Schizosaccharomyces pombe: one gene and its partners. The gene in region 1 interacts genetically with each later gene. Each region holds a gene or a part of one and is shown in the gene's direction. Other genes may lie near its edges.

Region 1 (8,905 bases):
TGCTGCCTATGTGATCTCAAACACCATTATTTTTGGTGTCTATGCAATTATCCAAGCTCGTATTAATGCCAACAATGATGAGACTCCTTTGGTTTATGAAGAGCCTGCACCTCCTTTTTCTGGACAAAGCAATGGCAAGCTAGTGACCACCACTGTCAAGGAGTATGATAGTGAGCAATTACAAAAGGCTAAACGCTCTACCATGATGGGTGTAGCTATCATGGCGTTCATGCATTTGTATATGGGTTATGCTCAACCATTGGTGATTCAGTCCATTCTCCCTTTGATTTCCTTGTTTACTAACAACTTGGTTTCCATTTACATCTTTAATAAGGCTGCTGAAGGTAGCTTATCTCGTCCATTTGCTCCCCCTGCTGGTCTCTTTGGGGGAGGAAACAAGCCTGCAGCTGCTGTTACTGGCACTTCGTCCAATTCTAACAATGCTTCAGCTAAGTCTGATGGCCCTACAATCACTGAATTGAACGAAAACGAAACTGAAAAGTCTTCTTAAGTATCTATGAACGCTGGACATTCAATGATACTTCTAAAGTCATCATGCTTGTTTAATTATTTCGTCCTTTCACTGGTTGATTTAATTTGATAGTTGTAGAATTAAAGATCGATGTTTTTTTTCCTAGTTTCAATTTAATCGGTTCAAATTCATTTCCTTTGCATTTTTAGGTTGCTAATAGCTCAAGTGTTACACAAACCAGTAGTTCTTGGATTGTAAAATTGGGCTATCTATAGAATAATATAATTATAGTAAGATAAAGTACGAATAATTTATAGATACATGTATGAAATGAAATACTTATTTACACTTTCCTCCTTCATTACTTTTTAATGAATCCTTAGTACGCTTGTCTTACAAAATATTCGTTCGTGCTCTTATTTTTCTTGTGTTTTACCTTTCTAGGTCTCAGTGTAAACTGGCATCATCCACGTTCCCTTAAAACTCTTATAATGTCCCGAGTGCTTCAAGATGCTGAATTTATTTCTTTGGTAATTTTACTACTTATTAATAACTGCTAACATGAACGATTGAAAGAACTCAAACGATGTGAAAGTTAATAAAGGTGGTTGTGCAGCAGTGGCAACATGGATTAAAGAGAAGCTAGATTCGTTGGGACCCCAATTCGCTGAGTGGCAGAATCACGAACTTCACCCTAAAACCCGAGACGTCTCTACCTTAGATTGGTATGTGTGGACGCTTGAATGTTTTCGTAGATTAAATAAAGATGAGCTGCTGAACATATACACTTTATATTTTTTTAATACTTCATTTCAACAAGTTTACCCTGTTCATAATGTATTAACGTCAAATCTTTAGGATTTTCTTGGTGGACATTTTGAATTTTTCATTTTGGTCAGACGTTGACGTTGAAGACAGTGGAAAACATTCCAAGAGATTTTCTATTGAATACAAAGGGAAGCTTTACACTGGTTATTGGAGTCTATGTGCAGCCATTAACAAAGCATTAGATGCTGGTATTCCCATTACAAGCCCTGCTTTTTATGCTGATGAAAAACAATGTCCTGATACCCTCATTGCTTCTGTATTTGACAGTGCTACCGTTGAAAAAATACCGCTTTTAGAGGAGCGTATAAGAATCATGCGAGCTTCTGGCCGTGTACTGGTAGATTCTTATCATGGCTCATACTGCGGATTACTCAAAAAATGTCATAATCAAGCGCAGAGACTAATAAAGCTATTGTTGGCTGATTTCCCTGATTTTAGAGATGTATCTGTTTACAAAGGAAGAGAATGTTATATGCTCAAACGTGCTCAAATTTTGGTAGCAGAAACTTGGGCTTGCTTTCAGGGACAAAATTACGGTCGATTTGACGATATCGATTCTATCACAATGTTTGCTGACTATCGCGTTCCCCAGATATTGTGGCAATTAGGATGTCTGAGCTATTCTTCTGATTTTAAAAAGCGTTTGCTAAAAAATGAATTGATAGCTCATAATGATCCTATGGAAATCGAGATGCGTGGATGTAGCATTTGGGCTGTTGAAAAGATTCTTCAAAACATTAACAGAAAAGATGTTAATGCTATCACAATTGATTTTTTTCTATGGGATCTTGCCAAAGAGTGGCAAGCTAAGGGTTATAAACCAAGTACTCAGGTCGATGAAGTTACAATCCCTTGTATTAGAGTGAGAAGTATATACTATTAGAAAGTATTTAGGCTTATGCTGGTGGCATTTGAAAAAATATACTTATATAATATTGACCTATTGTTAATTTATTCTCTTTTTAACATAGAGTGAGAAAGTACTAAAAACAAGCTGAAATAAATTAACGGAAAAACATGGTAAAGTTAATGTTAGCATTATGTGAAAGCTAGTATTAATGAGAAAATGCATTTGACATTATAACCACGTTTAAAAATAAAATAATAATATCGGGAACTTCGGTCAAAGCAATCAAAGAAATAAAATTTCGTTGGGCTATGCTCAATTAATTAAAATGTTAACGAAGAGCAATGGGTCCAGCCGATGTATAACCAGCGAGAGTTCTAACTCGCGTTGTGAGATCAGTTAAATTTTTGTGTGTCCCCAAAACAACCTTTAATTGATCGTTTTTTAAAGGTAAATGATTGATAATTTCTGCATGAGCAAACAAAGAAACATCTAAGAAAGAAGGTGATTCGTTATTGAAAAACCATTTGTCCGATCCTAAAAGTTCTGAAAGAGCTGAAAACGCCTTCGAAGCATCCTCTAAAATCTAAGCTTTGTTAGTACAAATCATGCTTCAAAATGCTCGGTCTAGAAGACTAACTGCTATCAAAAATTATTAAACGTACCGCATCAAAATCAAGAGTTGATTCGTTCAACTGAAGACAAATTTTTCGTTTAATTTGAGAAGGTAACCCGATTGATTTAATAATATTTAAAGGCCAAGACATGTTAGGTAACCATTTTTTTTGAATTTCAGAAAAGTTCTCGTTGTCCAAATACATAGTTAAGAGAATTGCCGTTTCTACTTGATTTATCAGCAAACTCATCCAAGGAGAGATTTGCTGCAGTGTTGACTCATCCTTTAAAAAATATTGTAAAAGAGATGGATTGAGGACTAATTTTCGAGATTCAATTTGAATAAAAGGTACTTTCTCATCTGGAGAGGCGTGGTTAGACACATTTAAAAAAACAATTGAAGGGTCGTTTAATTTTGCCCAGGTTTGCCATTGAAGACTATTAACGTCCAGAGCCTCTGAGTTCAAGTCGGAATTCCACATAGTCAAATACATGACTGTTTTCGTTTTGTAATCTTCATTTTCGCCCGGGTAAGGATTAGAAAACGTTATTAAAGGGAAGCGGGAGAAAATGGAATGAAAATAACTCGAAAATTTTGTTAGACCGCCCATCCTTTTCACTTGTCACTAAGTTTGCTAATTCTAAAGAGTTTACACCAATACCATCAATAGTGTGCTTAGCGAAATTGTTAGATTAAGTGGTAAAGCGTGCAATTTCTTCAAATTTCTACCTATATTGTAGTAGGAGAAAATATTCTGTTGTTTCTACTATACCAAGCATTAATTCTGCATACACACTTTTCTATTTTGCGTTGGATTTTCACATCCTCTAATAATCGATAAACTCGACAAAAGATTGTATTTATTTTATTTGACATAAATCATAATATGGATTTGTCTTTATTTTCAGATATCAAGGATGTCGTCGAGAGGGACATGAAAAAAAATTCAAAAGTTGTGGAAAATTCTTCTGCTAGATCACTAAAAAACAAAACAGAGGAAAACAAAACTATTGATAAACATAAAAGTTCCGTTGGTCCTAAGGAACCCAAATCATCATTGGAAAAGCCTAAAGCGAATCGGAAAAGAAAGCAATCGTATGGTTTACTCCATGATATTAAAGAACTCGGAGGTACCGAAGAGGATCTGGAGCTGATTGAAGATGTAGAAAGCGATGAAGAGTTGGAATTCGAAGAACCCAATCGTAAACAACCCAAGAAGGATGGGACTGATGCTGTAAGTCAATATCGATGTTTCTTAATTACTTCTTTCAAAAGGTTCTAATATCCTCTGTTTTAGTTTGCAAATGAGTTGAATTTGTTCGCCAAAAAATTGGGCTTTTCTAAAAACAGCTTTGATGCTCGTGCTCTAGACACTGAGTCAGAAGATGAAACCGAAATCGAAAAAAGTTCGTCTGAAAATTCTGATTCAGTTGATGTCGATTCGGATGATGAGTAAAAAACGCTTGACAACTAGTTTATTTATTTAAAAATTTTCCTTCTTATTATAACTTTATAAGCAATGAGTGTATCTGTTAAAACTGATTGGGGAATCCCAATTTCTCTGTAATCTTCTCGTTCACTTTTCAGATGCCATCACTCATGAGTTGTTTAAACCATCATTCAAGAGGAGTCTTAAGGGAATGTAATGTTTAACTAACATTATACTGAGGGATAGGTTCATACATATTACCTGAAGGAGTTGCAATTGTGTTGGACCTTTATTGCTACACTTTCATTCATTTTAATTATTTGTAAAGTAAGGATAGGAATTTAAGGCGGAGCATTCTTTTTTTATTAAAATAGCGGTCATTACGGGATTAATATAAACATTATATGTCAGTATATATTTCCTTCATCAATTTCGAAGCATTTATGCTTATTTGCATACTAAACCGTTAGTTTAATGTTTGTTTATTTTATTATTAACAGTAAAAGTATCAGGTGTGTTTTAAGAAATATGTTAAAATGAGACAGTGGCCGCATGTGCTTTCTTTACGCGTGTACGCTAGCTACTTCCTCTTATATAATAATCTGCCATTATCCTCTGCCATGGTACATGATGGAGTTCATCTAATTAGTATTAAAACAATTGTAATTATTTCTATTATAACATGATAAATTAAAAGCTAACTGATCAGCCTTGCCCTAACACTATATATTATGCGAAGTATCAGGTTCAGCGAAAGGACAATGAGGATGCTGCTTCCCTCTTAGAAGACAAAGAAGCTTATCTACGAAATCAGGATTGCATTGTTCACGCGAAGAATGACTTACTTTTTGTATATGATTTTCAAGCCATTCCATCTATTCCTGAGGAATCATCTTCTTTTATGCTACTTAATTCAGGTGCATTTTCCAGATTAGCTCTTTTTCAAAAAGATGAATTAGCTCTTCTATTAGACCTGTATATAAACTTTCTTCAAGGATTGAAAAAAACGGTGTTGTATTGGCTGTGCAAAGAATACAACTTTGTTCCAATTTATGGTGTCCTTCTTCCTTTAAAATTACACCCTTCTTTCGATACCCAGCTCTGGAACATATATGGATATCCTGTTGTGGATTTACAGCTTTCTGTCTTATCGAAAGGCCATATAGAATTTTACTTAAAGCCTACAAGGCAGACGGTATATCGTTTGTCGGAAGTGGATAATTTGGTTAAAAAGTTAGACACTGTCATTCGTTTAGCCCCGACTGGTTGTTTGGCAACATTAACCTCTGTGCATGCCAACGCATCTGCTCAAACTGTTGATGCATTGAAACACCGCTATGGATTCTCTCTTACGACTACTTCAAAGTGGGTGGGTGTTACCTTAGAATCTTCGGCATTAGAATTTTCCTGGCCTTTAGAACTTTGCTTTTTGGAAACGTCGGCCCTTCGAATGAATGATGATTCATTATCTAGCAACCTTACAGATTTGAATAACCTAGTCCTCCCTTCAAACGTCGTAAACAATAAAAAGGAATTAACTGAGTTCGCAAATGAAGAAGCGGAAGCTTCAGATAAAAGAAAAGAAGGTTTTACAGAAAAGGAAGAGACTGCTGATGCCGTTGTAACCTTGGTTCCTTCTCATAGTTCTTCTCCCGTTAATTATTCGATAAATTCTGCAAAATCTACACCTGCTTCAATAAAAGTAAATGAAGAGATACTTGTTGCTGATCATAATGTTTCAGATGACATACTAATGGAGGAAATAGACGATGTTGGAATAACAGAGGCTGATTTTGATTACTTTGACTTACCTAACGTTGAAGAAAAAGTTGAGATGATTGAGCCTAATTTTGCAAATACTATGACAACCTTAGATAATGAGGAAATCAACACTTCCATCTCTCAATCAAACACCAGTCCAAATTTGAATACTCACGAAAATATTCCAAAGCAAATGGAAATTCAATCGGATGATAGAATGGTAACCGAAGATTTAAATCCATACAACGTCGAAGTTGATATTCCTGAAATTTCTTTAAATATTTCAGATTCTAAAATCCCTACATCTGCGTATATGCCTTCATACTATTCTGCGGTAATTTTTCCCTCGTCTATCTCCAGTATTTTTCAGAAGTATAACTATGGTGGTAAATATTGGTGCCCTTCTCCTTCTTTGTCAACTGAAGATTTATTTGAATCATTTTCGGTCGCTGAATCGGTAACTAGTACAGATGAAGACATCTGCTCTACAAACTTTATACAACAAGATTTTACAATGGAGTATAATCACGATTTTTTTTCATCTTCTAAAACACCCACTAATATCTCAGAACAAAGTAACCCCGATTCAAATTATGATACGCTATCGTTAGCACATCAGGTTCTTATGAATGAATCCAAGTCAGCAAATTTTGATTTCAGTTTTTTAAAATCGTTAGATTTACAACCCACTATTACCTTGGGAAAAAATGACTTGTTAAACGCTATTTTGTCTCAAAACTTATGGTTTAGATCGTTACCTTTTTGGAAAAGCATGACTACCAGTTTCATGATGTCTCAAGATGTTTTAAACTTTTCTTCGTACATGCGGAAGCCTATTAGGGATTATTTAGAGAAAATATTGTTAGGTGAAAGTTCGGCTGTTTTCTTGAGCAAAAGCCCAGAAAATTATCTGTCCTCGATTAATAACGGGCATCACGCATTAAATGACAATCCTCCATCCCAAGTTAACTTTTCTGAAACGTTGGTAAACTTCTCCCAACCTCCTCGTGTTTTGCTCAAATACAACGAAAAAAAGTTGTCTTTAGATTCTTCGGCACCAGAGAATTGGATATCTTTATGTCTTCAACCGTATGGTGAGAGCAAAGATTTTGAAGTTTTTTTGCTCTCTTCCAAATCTCCCGACGTAAGCAGCAAGGCTATCAGCTTTTTTTATGATGTTCAGCTGGCTTATGAAAACTGCAAACTTGGAAAACTGAATTTATCTGAAACTTCTATTAACGAAAGAGTGATGGGATTCAGTACAAATATTAATGAAACAGATAATTATGATGATAATGAAACAACTCAAAGCGATACAGCAACCTCTTATGAACAACTAGCGAGTGTTTGTGTTAATGAATTAAGCGGAAAAAACGTACTTTTTTTTTATTTTTTAGAAGATGATTCCGAAAAACTTTTAAAGGCTTGTCAACATTTTATATGCGTAAAGGACTCAATCAAGAGACTTGGGGATAATAAATTTGAAGATAAATCATTACGAATATGCACGATTCCGAATTCTATTTTTGATTCACCCAACTCGCATACTACAAATTCGAACTCTTTTTTTACAAAAGTTTCACTCGACATTTATAATAATGATCCTTTATTGATGGATGGTTCATTAAAGAGACGTGAACCGGCTTTTCTCCTGAAAAAGCCCTTGTTATCAACTCTTAACTATCAGCTTAAAGATATTAATCCCAGATCTTCAGCTTTGGGAGAGTATGCGCTACATGTAACGTATACAACTGTCGAAGAGCACTTGCTTATTTGCAATTGGAATGATTCCTATGGAGAATTTGAAACTGAGAGACGCTATTTTCTCCAAGACCTTGAAATTGAAGATGCTTTACAGCAAATTTTAGAAGTCACATTTACGTTCCTTAACTCAATGCACATGGATTGGATAGTAATCGTCATGAAGATTGGTGAGATGTCTGACGCAGAGTATCTGTTTTGGGATCAAGCAATAATACCTGAAAACTTACAAGGCAATGTTTCTCTTACAGTTGGTTACTGCTCAGCAGAGCACGGACCTGGCTCAACTTCGAAAGTGTTTTCAAGGATTCCATATTCGGCTTCAAGCACAGTTATTCGTAATAATAGTAGTCATGAGCTCTCTTTGGTTGCGTTTATCCGAGAAATGGCAATGCCTGTGCCGAACGATGAATTTAAGAAAATTTCTACAATCTTAGCTAGAGGATACTTAGCATTAGACGAGGACGAATCTTATTTACCACTGTTAAGCATTCATCTTTTGATATCTCGAAATCATGATCCTTATTTAATGTTAAATCTTATTTTAAAACATTATTTAAGTATGATTTATTTACAGTTTCGAACGTATGTTTCTTTTTCTTCACTCCCATTACACATTTCTACCGTTTTATACCAGAAGCAACTATTGCAGTTTATGGCATCAGACATTACACATCCTGTGACCTCTTAGTTTTTGGGGTATTATTAATTTATACAGTATAAGTTTATAATGCGCTTGTGCCAAAATTGGTTTACTCTTGTTATCGTTTTTGTTTACTAGATTGGGAAGGTTGACATAGTGAAAACACAGTGTTTGTTTACTGTCGACTATTTCATATTCCGCCATTTTTAACCATGAAATTAGCCAACGCAAAACATAATGAAGAAACATAAGTCCTCAATTAAGTGTTTTAAGATTGACCAAATATCTCAACAACCTGAAACCGATTTGGTTTTTACTAAAAGGTCGGAATGCAAAGTAAAAGATGAGCTATTTTCAGATAAGGAAAACTCAATCTTATGTAAACAGTTGAAGGAATTAGATTTAGTTGTTTCTTCAAACAAAGAGTTTCTAAACGAAAAGACATCGGATCAAATTTCGTTTTTGAAACCAAGAGAAACAGTAGTTGAAAAAAAATTAGCAAATGGGAGTATTTGGCCTAATGAAACTTCCCATTTAGATAAATCTAG
Region 2 (5,320 bases), on another chromosome or scaffold:
TTTTTCCAGCTTTACCAATAATGATACCAGCTTCACGAGTAGAAAGTAAGGCTCTCAAGGTAAGTTGTTGAGTAGCATAGGTGGCATCATCCATCGGTGGCTTGGCAGAGATGGGAGGCACTTGAGACGTTGGTTCGGGTTGGTTGGTCATGGACTGTTGAATAGTAGAACCGTTAGTAAGAGTCGATAGAGGTGTAGAGGGCTTTGGAGTAGGTATGGAAACTTTAGCAATGCCAGTAGCAGTAGAAGTGGTTTCGTCGGGTTCGTCTTGAAACGTTACGTCAAAAAAAGAGTTCTCTTTTTCCTCGATGTTTTTAGGAATGCTGAAGTGATTGTAAGCCATAGATGTCACTGGAATAGTATTGGTTAATTGAATAGGACACATATGCGTTTCTAGGAGGAGAGTAGAACCTTTTCTAAATTACTTCCTGAAAACTGATTAGTTCAAACCTGCAGGGATTTAGCGGAGATTAAAAAAAAAAAGGAAAACGGATTAGGCTCCTTCTAAGCTCTTATTGCAGTTTCTTATAAATTGAAATTGCAATCAATAGCTGTGATTACTTCGACAAAAATGAAGTAAACGACCAAGGAGAACGGAGTAGTGGTAAACGGGGTGTAGCAGTGACAAAGAGAAAATTTTCTGCAAGTAAGTCTTTTGGTGGGGAAATAACGAAGTTTGAAGAACGTATAGTAAAGTCGCACAATTTACTGATAGGAAGTGGTAGCGTAGCTTTACGCCTCAGTCGTTATATCTTTGGAAGTGAAAATGATGAGATTAATAAATGAGAAGAGCATTACAAGAATGGGTTTTTTAAATAATCGTAAATTTCCTAGCTAAAGCTAACGAATGCTGCCAAGTGAAATATCATTCTTTTAGTCAATATAGCAGGTATTAACGTAGTTGTTTTCGTTGGCCTTTGCTTCGGTATATAGGATAGCGTGGTTCAAGCGACTTTGTAAGATCAGATGAAAGATAAAGGGCAAAAACCTAAATAGCGTCCATGCATCAGTGGAACTTTCTTTCTTCAGATTACGTTATATGGTATAGTGAGCTTTGAAAATCGTTGAAAAAATTCGAATTTAATGGTGCAGAGGCAAAGACGATATGGACGTTCGGAAAAATGAAAACTATACTGGAGGAAGTTATCTTTATTTGATTCTGTCTTCGTAATTAAGCTTCCTTCAGCTTCGAACTTTTCATTTCCTAATTCGAATACCTATTTGTTCACCCGTACCTCTTTAGGTTTATATTTGTTCTTGCAAACTGTTCTGCGGCGATATGAATTTTGCTACCCCAAAGTTTACGTAAGCCAAGTTTGTCGTAAATAAATTCGCAAAAAAAAGTACTTTGGATGGTGCAACATGGAAGAATTGAACGCCGTTGAAACGCTGGTATTTTTGAACATGAAGTATCTCAGTATTCAACCCAAAGTCATAAAAATTCTTGAACCTTTAGCTTTCCAAGCGCTGAATGAGCATACTGGGACACATTTTGAAACCATAGACGCAAGTAATAATTGCGTAAGTTATATAAAACTCATAGAGCCAACAAAGCTAGTAGCATTTACTTCTTAATATTATATTGAAATTCCAATAAATAATCTTTGAATATCGTTTGTATGAAATACCCGAGAGCAATTGCGGCGCTAAATTAAACTGAATGTTCAGTTACCAAGATTTATGTCACTTCATAGAAAGATATAATATCACAGTAGCGTGTACCATTCTTCTATACCTCACTGAACGAGGAAGTCTACAATTCTGCTTGGCCTAGCACAGTGTTAGCGAGGGTGAAGAATAAAATTATGATGCTAATTACCAAAACGGTGATTTCAAAAAAAGTTGAGGAACTTTCATATTTTCATTTTTTGCCTCTTATAGGACGCTATGTATTACGTTGCGTAACTTTGACTTTTGCAAATACTTGGATGTACCACTGTCTCCATGTTTGTTTGTTGGTCAATATAAAACGTAGTATTAGACATTAAAATATTGGTTTAATTATTTCATTTAGAAAACTCAATAGAAATTTAGCAAATATCGTCAACCAACCTAGATTGATCCTGTTTCACGCAATTCGGACTATATGAATCGTTTTTGATTGCTTTCTAGACTTCATAGCATTATTACTTACCCTTCTACTTTTTTAATACCTTCGAAATTGTCAAATTGACTCATTATTGCAAAAATGCTGTACAGGCTCTCCGAAAAACAGCAGACAGACTTACGGTGTAATAAATTAACTGTCGATGGATTTGAGCTGGTAAAAATGTTAAAGGAATTACGATTACATAACAGGAATATCAATTTTTTGGAATTTCTTCGAGGTGTACAGATTGTGCCGAGCGACAGTGTCTTCTTGGGCGAAATTGATGAAAACAGCCATACTCAAGACAATACAACTACTTCTATCTTAAAGGAGAAAGAGCTATATGATGGTATTCCTCTGCTTCCATCAATGGCAGGCGTATCCATGGACCCTGAGAGAGAAAAAAAATCAGAGTTACGACTAATGAAAAACCAAATCAGCGCTATAATCAATATACTCTTCACAGTAGTAGGAACGGTGACCGCTGTTTGGTACTGCACTTCATCTTTATCTATTGAAAAGGTATGAATTAAAAACTTTCGTTTTGTTCCTGGGAGACCTTTGTATTGACTTAATATTATTTAGAAAATTGCGCTATGTGCGTTTTCAGCAATCTTGGTTCTAGTAGCAGATACGTTTCTTTATGTCCGCTATCTATCTGCACAACCCGTACGAACTTCAAAGAATCATACTCGACAAATAATATATACATGGACAACAAATGACCCTGTTCTACAGTCAAATGAGCAGCTAGCTATAGAACTGGGAGCCATTCCATCTTTGAAGGAAAAAAAGAACCAATAATTATATTCTTAATTTTTAGATGTTTTATTAACGAAAGTACCTTTGATGTTTTCCTGTAGATGATTTTTATAGGTTGTTTGTCTAATTGATCATAATGGCATACCTCTCTATGTGTTAATTGAAGGGCAGGCACCTATGGGCACACTATAGATAAAAAATAAAAAGTATTTAAGATAAAAAATTCGAACTCATTTGGCTTTTAACGTATATTTCATCAATTAATTTCATTATAATTAAAGATTTAGCAACATTATTTCAATTTAATTAGCCATTTGGTATTAGATTTATTTGTAAGGAACACAACTTACAAATTTATAAATAAACAACAAATCAACCCCCCCTTGTAAAAAAATTAAAAAAAAAAAAAAAAATAGAGAGCAACCTAACCATTGAGTTACCAGTGAATTATGCAAGGCGCAACTTGACCTTAAGTTTCTTCCATATAATCAATAGTGCAAGCACAGACATAACGTTTAATATTAAGCATACCGCAAAAAAAACAACAGGTGAGAACGAGCGAAATGCACCGCCAAAGATAGCACCAACTGTGTCGGATAAGGAAATTGATATTTGCACAGCGACGTTACCTATCAGGTGGTACTTAGGATGTAAAACCTTTGTCAATAAAGAGACCGAAGGGGAATTAGCAATAGAAGATCCAAAAAAAACAAGGGTGTAAATAATAAAGTAAGGTTGTACGAATTCCTTGCCTGTATAGTGAATAGTTATATGAATAACCATGCATACGATGTTTAAACAACAACCCAACAATATGATATCTCTGTCAGTCAAGTAACGCGTCAAATAGGAAAATATTAAAAGCAAGGGTACGTTGATAATTCCAGCCAAAGAAAGGAAGTTACCTGCTTGGAAGGATGAATAATTATAAAGCATAGAAGTGTAAATTGGAACAGATGCTTGGTATGCATTTAATAGAAAGTAAGCAGAGAAGCCAGAGAAAGCGACAACGAAAATAACAAGACACCCCACAAATCCTAGTTTTGAATTGGTATCCTGTTTGACATCATTAATGACATGCTTCTCTTCGACTACTTCTTCCTTTACGTCCGTTTGCGGGCTCAAAACCTCCCGGAAACAAGCAAAGCCAAACAAAAACAAGCCTACCCAAATGAAAGCCATTAGCCAGTTACCCGAAGTATATTCATTCCAGATATCGCTTTGAGACTTCATTGAAGACTTGGCCATTAATCCTCCGATGAATGGACCAGCTGTCAAACCAAGCGTTGCCATGACTGAGTTGACCACACCCATCGACGTTCTATATTTGATGCTGATCAAGGCTTTATCTGTGAAATAGCGCTTGTGGTATAAAAACATGGTACACGCAACACCCGTAAAAATACGACTCACAAGAATCAAGGCCACACTTTTGGCTTTATCTGCGAGTGCATACATGATATGACCAATAATGCAGCTTATACACGACATTGTATATGGTCTTCTATAAATCGTATATCCCTTGGCAGCTTTCGGAGTCGAGAATCTCAACATGGGATACAGCAACACAAGGGCAGTGATTGTGGGCAATCCGATAATTACACCGGACAAACCATTTCCTCCCCCCAGATGTTGGACAAATCTCTCGGACGTAGGAACGACAATGGTGAATGAAATGCAAAGAATTGTGTTATTTAACAGCATCAAAGCCGCACTGATGAACGGTGGTTTATGCGTAGCAGCCGGTGAGGCAGAAGGGTCATTGGAAACTAATCTTACAGATTGCTTGTATCCCGACTTTTCCTTTTCATCAAGAAAGGATGAGACCGAGAGGTCTTTTTCTAAATTACTTTGTTGCTCCATAATATAGACTCAATGGATCCATTCAAAAACCTGCTCTACTACGAAAACTGGCCTGTGGAATAAGGTATAGAAGGAACGAGAAAACAAAGAGAAATTCTTTGTTGTTTTCAAATATTTTGGTGTGAGTAAAGGAAGAAAGTGGAATTTCAATAGAATAGCATGACTCGTTTATTTTATATGAGATCAATTTTTTTAAGTTGATGATATCCGATAATTTTCATCATCGTATAGAATGGATAAGAATTCCCAAAATAGGATATCCACGGTGCTTCCCTAATTAAGCTTTCCGTAGTGCGGAGTATTTTACCATATATCAGTCATTAGTTGTACGGCTACTGTACTAGCTCACATGGTCCAGTGGTTAAGACTCATCGTTGTGGCCGATGCGACCCAGGTTCGATTCCTGGTGTGGGCAGTTTATTTATTTGTTCTTTTTTAAATTATTAATTACTTGTATAAATAGGAAATAATCAGCGAGAGCAAATAGTACAATTCAGTTATGGCAAGTACAAAAACGCAAAGATAAATGCAAACGTAGAAACCGGTAGACATGATGGTAGAAGGAGAATAGAATTATGATAGGATATGATGATAAGTATCGAATAG
Region 3 (5,357 bases), 1.5 Mb from region 1:
TAATAAAAAATAGCTCTATTACTTCAGAAAAATTCGCTGAATGTGTTCAATTTGATATGCTAGAGAAGGTACAATATTATAGATAAATAGGGCTATTTACTAATTTTGGTTGAAACGTTTGTAGGAAACCGTCTTCAGTACTTCGATATTATATACAAAACTTATTCAATAGATGTCTAACGAGCACACATAATACAAATAATATCTAAGAAACTTGTATTGTCATCATGTAACATAGAATTAAAAGTTTACACATTTAAACAAACTGAGTAATTTAATGTAGCTAAATAGATATAGTGCTAAACACTCATGAAACAGCAGATGAATAATCATCCTTCATTTTTTGAGTACGCATTTTGCGATTGAAAGATCCATGATCCATTATTTATTATATTAAATACTTGTGTTTTAGCAAAATTTATTACATTACTCCAAAAATTATCTTATGTTTGAGTATTGCTTAGCGAAGCTGCAATTTTCAACCCCCTTTATCACACCGCTTAAACATCTCATCTTAAAACGAAGTAGCGGCTTTGCTCTATTTTACTCATCACAATGGAAGATGAAATGCAAATAGACAAGAAGGAGGTGGAAATTGAACAAAAACCTCCTCGATTTGAAATTAAAAAGGTTCGTCATTATTTTTATGATCATGTTCTTCATGTGTATCAAATTTGCCATAAAGCAAAGTAAACTGTGAAAATTAATACCCAAAGATATATTTGCTATTTTAAAATAAGCATACACTTAAGTACTAGTTTACTCTCTTTGCTTTTTTTATGAGTTCTTCTGATTCATATTGCTTACCTTCAATTTAGTGGAATGCTGTAGCATTATGGCAATGGGACATTGTTGTAGATAACTGTGCTATCTGCAGAAATCATATTATGGACTTATGTATTGAGTGTCAAGCTAACACCGATTCTGCTGCTGCTCAAGAGTGCACAGTGGCATGGGGAACTTGTAATGTAAGTTTTAATTCGATTTCTTTCGTATTCTTAGCTCAGGACTGTTTTTAACAAATACAAAAGCATGCATTTCACTTTCACTGCATCTCAAGATGGTTAAACACTAGGAATGTTTGTCCTTTGGACAATCGTGAATGGGAGTTCCAACGTTATGGTAGGGTATATTAAGACGAGCCTACTTTACTAACTTTATCTCAGGTCATTAATAACATTTATTAAGTACTTACTTTTTTGTTGGTAAAAATATTTCAATGGAGCAGAGCGTTTTATTAATGAAATGACATGAATCAATTAAAATTTCCTAAAATCATGACTACTTGTGGCTAGTTTAAGTTTCCATGTGACTTTGAATTGTTATTTATATTTATTTACTCCAATTACTCAGATAGTGGACGAATATATCAATTTATTTTATTGCTTGTCAAATAAAATTTCCTACAGACAGTTTTTAACTACACATCATATAAATTAAGACATTATATCACTACTTTGTATACACTTGAAGAATTAGAACATTACTTAAATCATCAAAAGAAATGGCATACTTCTAAAGTGCTATTGTTAAAATTGAATAGGCATACAGACATTATGCTGCATATCGCATGACAGAATGCGAATCATTGCTTTCGAGAAGAATGTCAGTGGTGAGATACAAAAGCTCAGTAGTGCACGGATTTTCTATACTTGCCAATCAATTCACAAATTCAGTTAACTTTTAAATAAGAACAAACAGCTTTATGAAAATTACCATCTGATGTTTAAAACCTTCAGTTTATCAGACTTGGTGTTTTCGTTAATAGTGGGTAGGCATAAAAAGATTCGTGGTACTTTGACTCTTTATTCGCCTAATACTAATGTTTCTGTCGCCTTCGTCACTTCCCACTATAGAGAGACCTACATTCATCTGACTTTTTAAGTGATACTAAAAAGTCGGATACTTTTTATATAAAGACTGTAAAAAGCATCCCTATGTGATTGAATGTGTATATATCCATCTCTTTAAAGGTTTGATAGGGTAGGGTCATTTCAGCATGAAAGACGGTTATAAAATTATTGGGTTTATCTCATCTGGAACTTATGGAAAGGTTTATAAAGCGGTTTCATCTAATTCGAATGATAAACGACTGTTTGCAATTAAAAAGTTCAAAGCTGAGTCAAAGCAAGTAAGCTCGAATGCTCAACAAACCGGCGTTTCTCAAAGTGCTATTCGTGAAATGATGCTGTGTAGAGAAATTCAGCATGAAAATATAGTTAGCTTGGTTCAAGTTTTACTCAAAGATGGCACAATTAGCATGGTTTTTGAATACGCCGAACACGATCTGTTGCAAATTATTCATTTCCATAGCCGATCTAGAACAAGACAAATTCCACCATCAATTTTAAAAAGTATTCTATGGCAGATCATTAATGGTGTAGCATACCTACATGAAAACTGGATTATGCATCGAGATTTGAAACCAGCAAACATAATGATTACAGCTACAGGCAAGGTAAAAATTGGGGACCTAGGGCTGGGAAGGCTCATTCGGGATCCCATATTACCATTTTATTCCAGCGATCGTGTAGTAGTTACTATTTGGTATCGTGCGCCAGAGCTACTTTTGGGAGCTCACGATTATACCCCAGCAATAGATGTTTGGGCAATTGGTTGTATTTATGGAGAAATGCTTGCTCTTTCTCCTCTTTTCAAAGGAGATGAAATAAAAATGGAAGATAAAAAAGTCGTTCCTTTTCAGAGTACTCAAATGCTACGCATAATGGAGTTACTAGGCACACCAACAGAAGAACGCTGGCCAGGTCTCAAAAATTATCCAGAGTACTATCAATTATCATCATTTGAAGTTCGTTACTGGAATAATTTGCTTCCTCAGTGGTATCAAACCGTAAAAAATCGGGATCCGCAAGGGTTAGATCTACTGATGAAAATGCTACAATACGATCCAAAATCACGCATAACTGCTAAGCAAGCTTTGGAACACGTTTTTTTTACTTCCGATAAATTATGGACCACTAGGTACGTGTTCTTCCTTTTCCTATTTATCATCGAAAGAAATAAGCTTTTACTAACTCACTTTTTAGCCCATTTTTAAATCAACCTATTCATTATCCAGAAAGGAGAATTTCAGAAGATGATTCCGAGGTTTCCTCCAAACGCGTACTATCTACTTCACTAAGGTCCGAAAGTAAACGTTTTAAAGGAAATTGATTGTTAATGCTTCCCTTAAGCTATTTAAAAGATTATCTGTAATTTTCAATTAAATATTTCGCCTTTTCTTGGACGTATATTTGATATTCTGTCTACGCAGGGCACCGTCGTTTTATTTAAGAATACCTAAAAAACTCACGATTATTTATTCATATTTTTGACCATTGAGATACTAAAATTTTTTTTCAACTATTCTAATATATGGTTCAAACCATACATTTTTGCTAGTACATCCACGTTGTGACTCATTATTCTTATTGTTTTAGAGGGAAGATTCCAACAGCCATGTTGGGTAAGGAATGGGAAAACACTAGCTTTGCAGAAATTGGTCTACTACATCAAGCGCCTAACGATAATGACTTAGAAAAATTTCAACATGCTCTAACGTTAATGAGTGAGGCTGATAACTCTAGCGATGTACTAACTTATGATTTTTTACTGGATTTTCTCTAACTTGCCATAGCTTTTAATACCACTTATTAGTGACTTTTTAATATGGTTTTATTATCAGAAAACACCTTTAAAATGGATTCCTTTTCTAGGTCACTTTTTTAATACCTGGCAATCTTGTAGTTTTCCTCCCCGCAGATATTTGCTAGCTAAAATACTTTCAGGGAGAATTTCAGAGGTATGTGTAAAGAGAAAAAGAAAGCAGTTTATTTTTTTTTGTTTCGATACGTCAATTTTCGAACGAAACTTTTGTGATTGAATTTTTTTTTTGCCATAACAAATGCAAGTTGTTTGTTGGTACTAACTATGCATAGTTGCTGAAAGTTTCTCCTTTTGAGCTTGCCGCTTCTGTAACTAGCCAGGATGTAGTCGAAGCTGATTCCCTAGTTGAAGAGAATGAGTTACAGGCTTGGCTAGAAAAACAAGAACTTGTACCGTCTTCCTCTAATTTTCTAAATTCTTTTTGGATTTCAGGGGGAGAGAGAGAGCTAACGGAAGAGGAACAGGTAAGATTATCCTTTTTTTTTCAATTTTCGAGGAATTGCTACTGACATTTCGCTTTAGAATTCTTTACTTCAAAGCAACACGACGTACACAAATTCTGATTTGCCTGCCTCCAAGCAGCTTGAATCTTTTATTTCGATGAACCTTTCTTATAGTAAAGTTTTTTTCCTTCATCTTCTACAGCACTCTGATTCCTCGTTTAACGATAAATTTCTCTTGCTTCTTGCTAATATTCCCGTTACAGTTTCAAATGTAGAAGTCTTACTTTATTTATTGCAACAAGAAGAAAGCCTTGCTCAATTTGATCTTAACGGCAAATCTTTTCTTTATCACATGCTTGTATCCTTGCATAACCAAGTTACCAATACATCACATTTAGAAAAGCAACGAATATCCACTGTTGCGACTTTATTTATATCCAAACTATTCGAAATACCTTCTTTATCTGAGTATTTATCGAGCACATTGTTTTTAGATCTTCAGGCCTTTTGCATCGTTGCTTTACCGCAATCAGCTAAGCTATTCCAAAAAGTAAAAGCATTAAAAAATAACCCTTGAGTTATTGAAAAGTTAGTATAACTCTATTATTTATTCGTATCTATTTAGAAAGCTTGAGTTACGATACTTCTAACATTAAATTTAACACACAAGTACTACATTTCCATAATATCCCAATATCCCAATTCTCTGCTAGAGTAAAATAATTAGAGTATTCCATTTTTTATGCCTAAACCCATTACCAAAAACTAAACTACTAATATTCACAAATTTTTTTATGAATCAATATCCGTAACCTTGAATAACTCGCAAGGTAAAGGATACATACGCTTATAAAGCGACATAGCTACAGTATCTTGTACTGTAATTTTACCATTAAAAGTTGCCTTGAAATAACCGTGGGTACCAAGTGGTTCCTTAATATAACCCGTTCGCCCTTGTTTAGTAAAAAGCTGAATAGGTTTGAACCAAATAACGTCTTCTGGATTAAAAAACATATATCTAATAGTGACCAATTTTTTGTGTACTTTGAAAGGATGACCTGTTAGAACAGCTCTTTTAGCAATGACAGAATTGGTATCACAATTTACATATGAGCCGGTAGCGGCAAGACGCAAAGAGTTATCCGATGACTTTTTGAACATTATTATAGGTACATTACCAAAGACGATAGGAGAAATAACAGATGCGATAACAGCTTGCTTAGGTGGAAGATATCTATGATATTTTTG

The links. A genetic interaction does not mean that the proteins touch.
Region 2: mutations in med13 (region 1) and vph2 together harm fitness less than expected from each alone (positive genetic interaction), as found in Schizosaccharomyces pombe (2 studies listed by BioGRID).
Region 3: of med13 (region 1) and srb10, changing one suppresses a phenotype caused by changing the other (phenotypic suppression), as found in Schizosaccharomyces pombe (2 studies listed by BioGRID, with this or other methods).

Annotation. Positions count from the first base shown.
Region 1 is NC_003424.3:3,094,575-3,103,479, reverse strand, and holds med13 (mediator complex subunit Med13), read left to right. Parts: upstream 1-4,812; coding exon 4,813-4,854; intron 4,855-4,889; coding exon 4,890-8,405; downstream 8,406-8,905. Other genes in the region: snd302 (pho88 family protein), read left to right, coding at 1-511; protein qng1, read left to right, coding at 964-1,002, 1,049-1,197, 1,331-2,183; mtx2 (metaxin 1), read right to left, coding at 2,479-2,733, 2,813-3,373; protein Noc12, read left to right, coding at 3,650-3,997, 4,061-4,219; protein mug74, read left to right, coding at 8,595-8,905. UniProt on the Schizosaccharomyces pombe protein: Component of the srb8-11 complex. The srb8-11 complex is a regulatory module of the Mediator complex which is itself involved in regulation of basal and activated RNA polymerase II-dependent transcription.
Region 2 is NC_003421.2:66,343-71,662, forward strand, and holds vph2 (V-ATPase assembly protein), read left to right. Parts: upstream 1-1,909; 5' UTR 1,910-2,188; coding exon 2,189-2,611; intron 2,612-2,674; coding exon 2,675-2,893; 3' UTR 2,894-3,137; downstream 3,138-5,320. Other genes in the region: RNA-binding protein Rnc1, read right to left, coding at 1-343; SPOM_SPCC757.11C (transporter), read right to left, coding at 3,299-4,714. UniProt on the Schizosaccharomyces pombe protein: Required for vacuolar ATPase assembly.
Region 3 is NC_003424.3:1,574,855-1,580,211, forward strand, and holds srb10 (mediator complex cyclin-dependent protein kinase subunit Srb10), read left to right. Parts: upstream 1-1,852; 5' UTR 1,853-1,999; coding exon 2,000-2,982; exon of another isoform or gene 2,983-3,047; coding exon 3,048-3,174; downstream 3,175-5,357. Other genes in the region: SCF complex, Cul4-RING and CLRC ubiquitin ligase ligase E3 subunit Rbx1, read left to right, coding at 556-630, 819-968, 1,032-1,122, 1,167-1,174; protein Not11, read left to right, coding at 3,460-3,591, 3,638-3,802, 3,939-4,130, 4,189-4,686; ribosome biogenesis protein Tsr1, read right to left, coding at 4,902-5,357. UniProt on the Schizosaccharomyces pombe protein: Catalytic component of the Cdk8 module/Srb8-11 module which is a regulatory module of the Mediator complex that regulates basal RNA polymerase II transcription.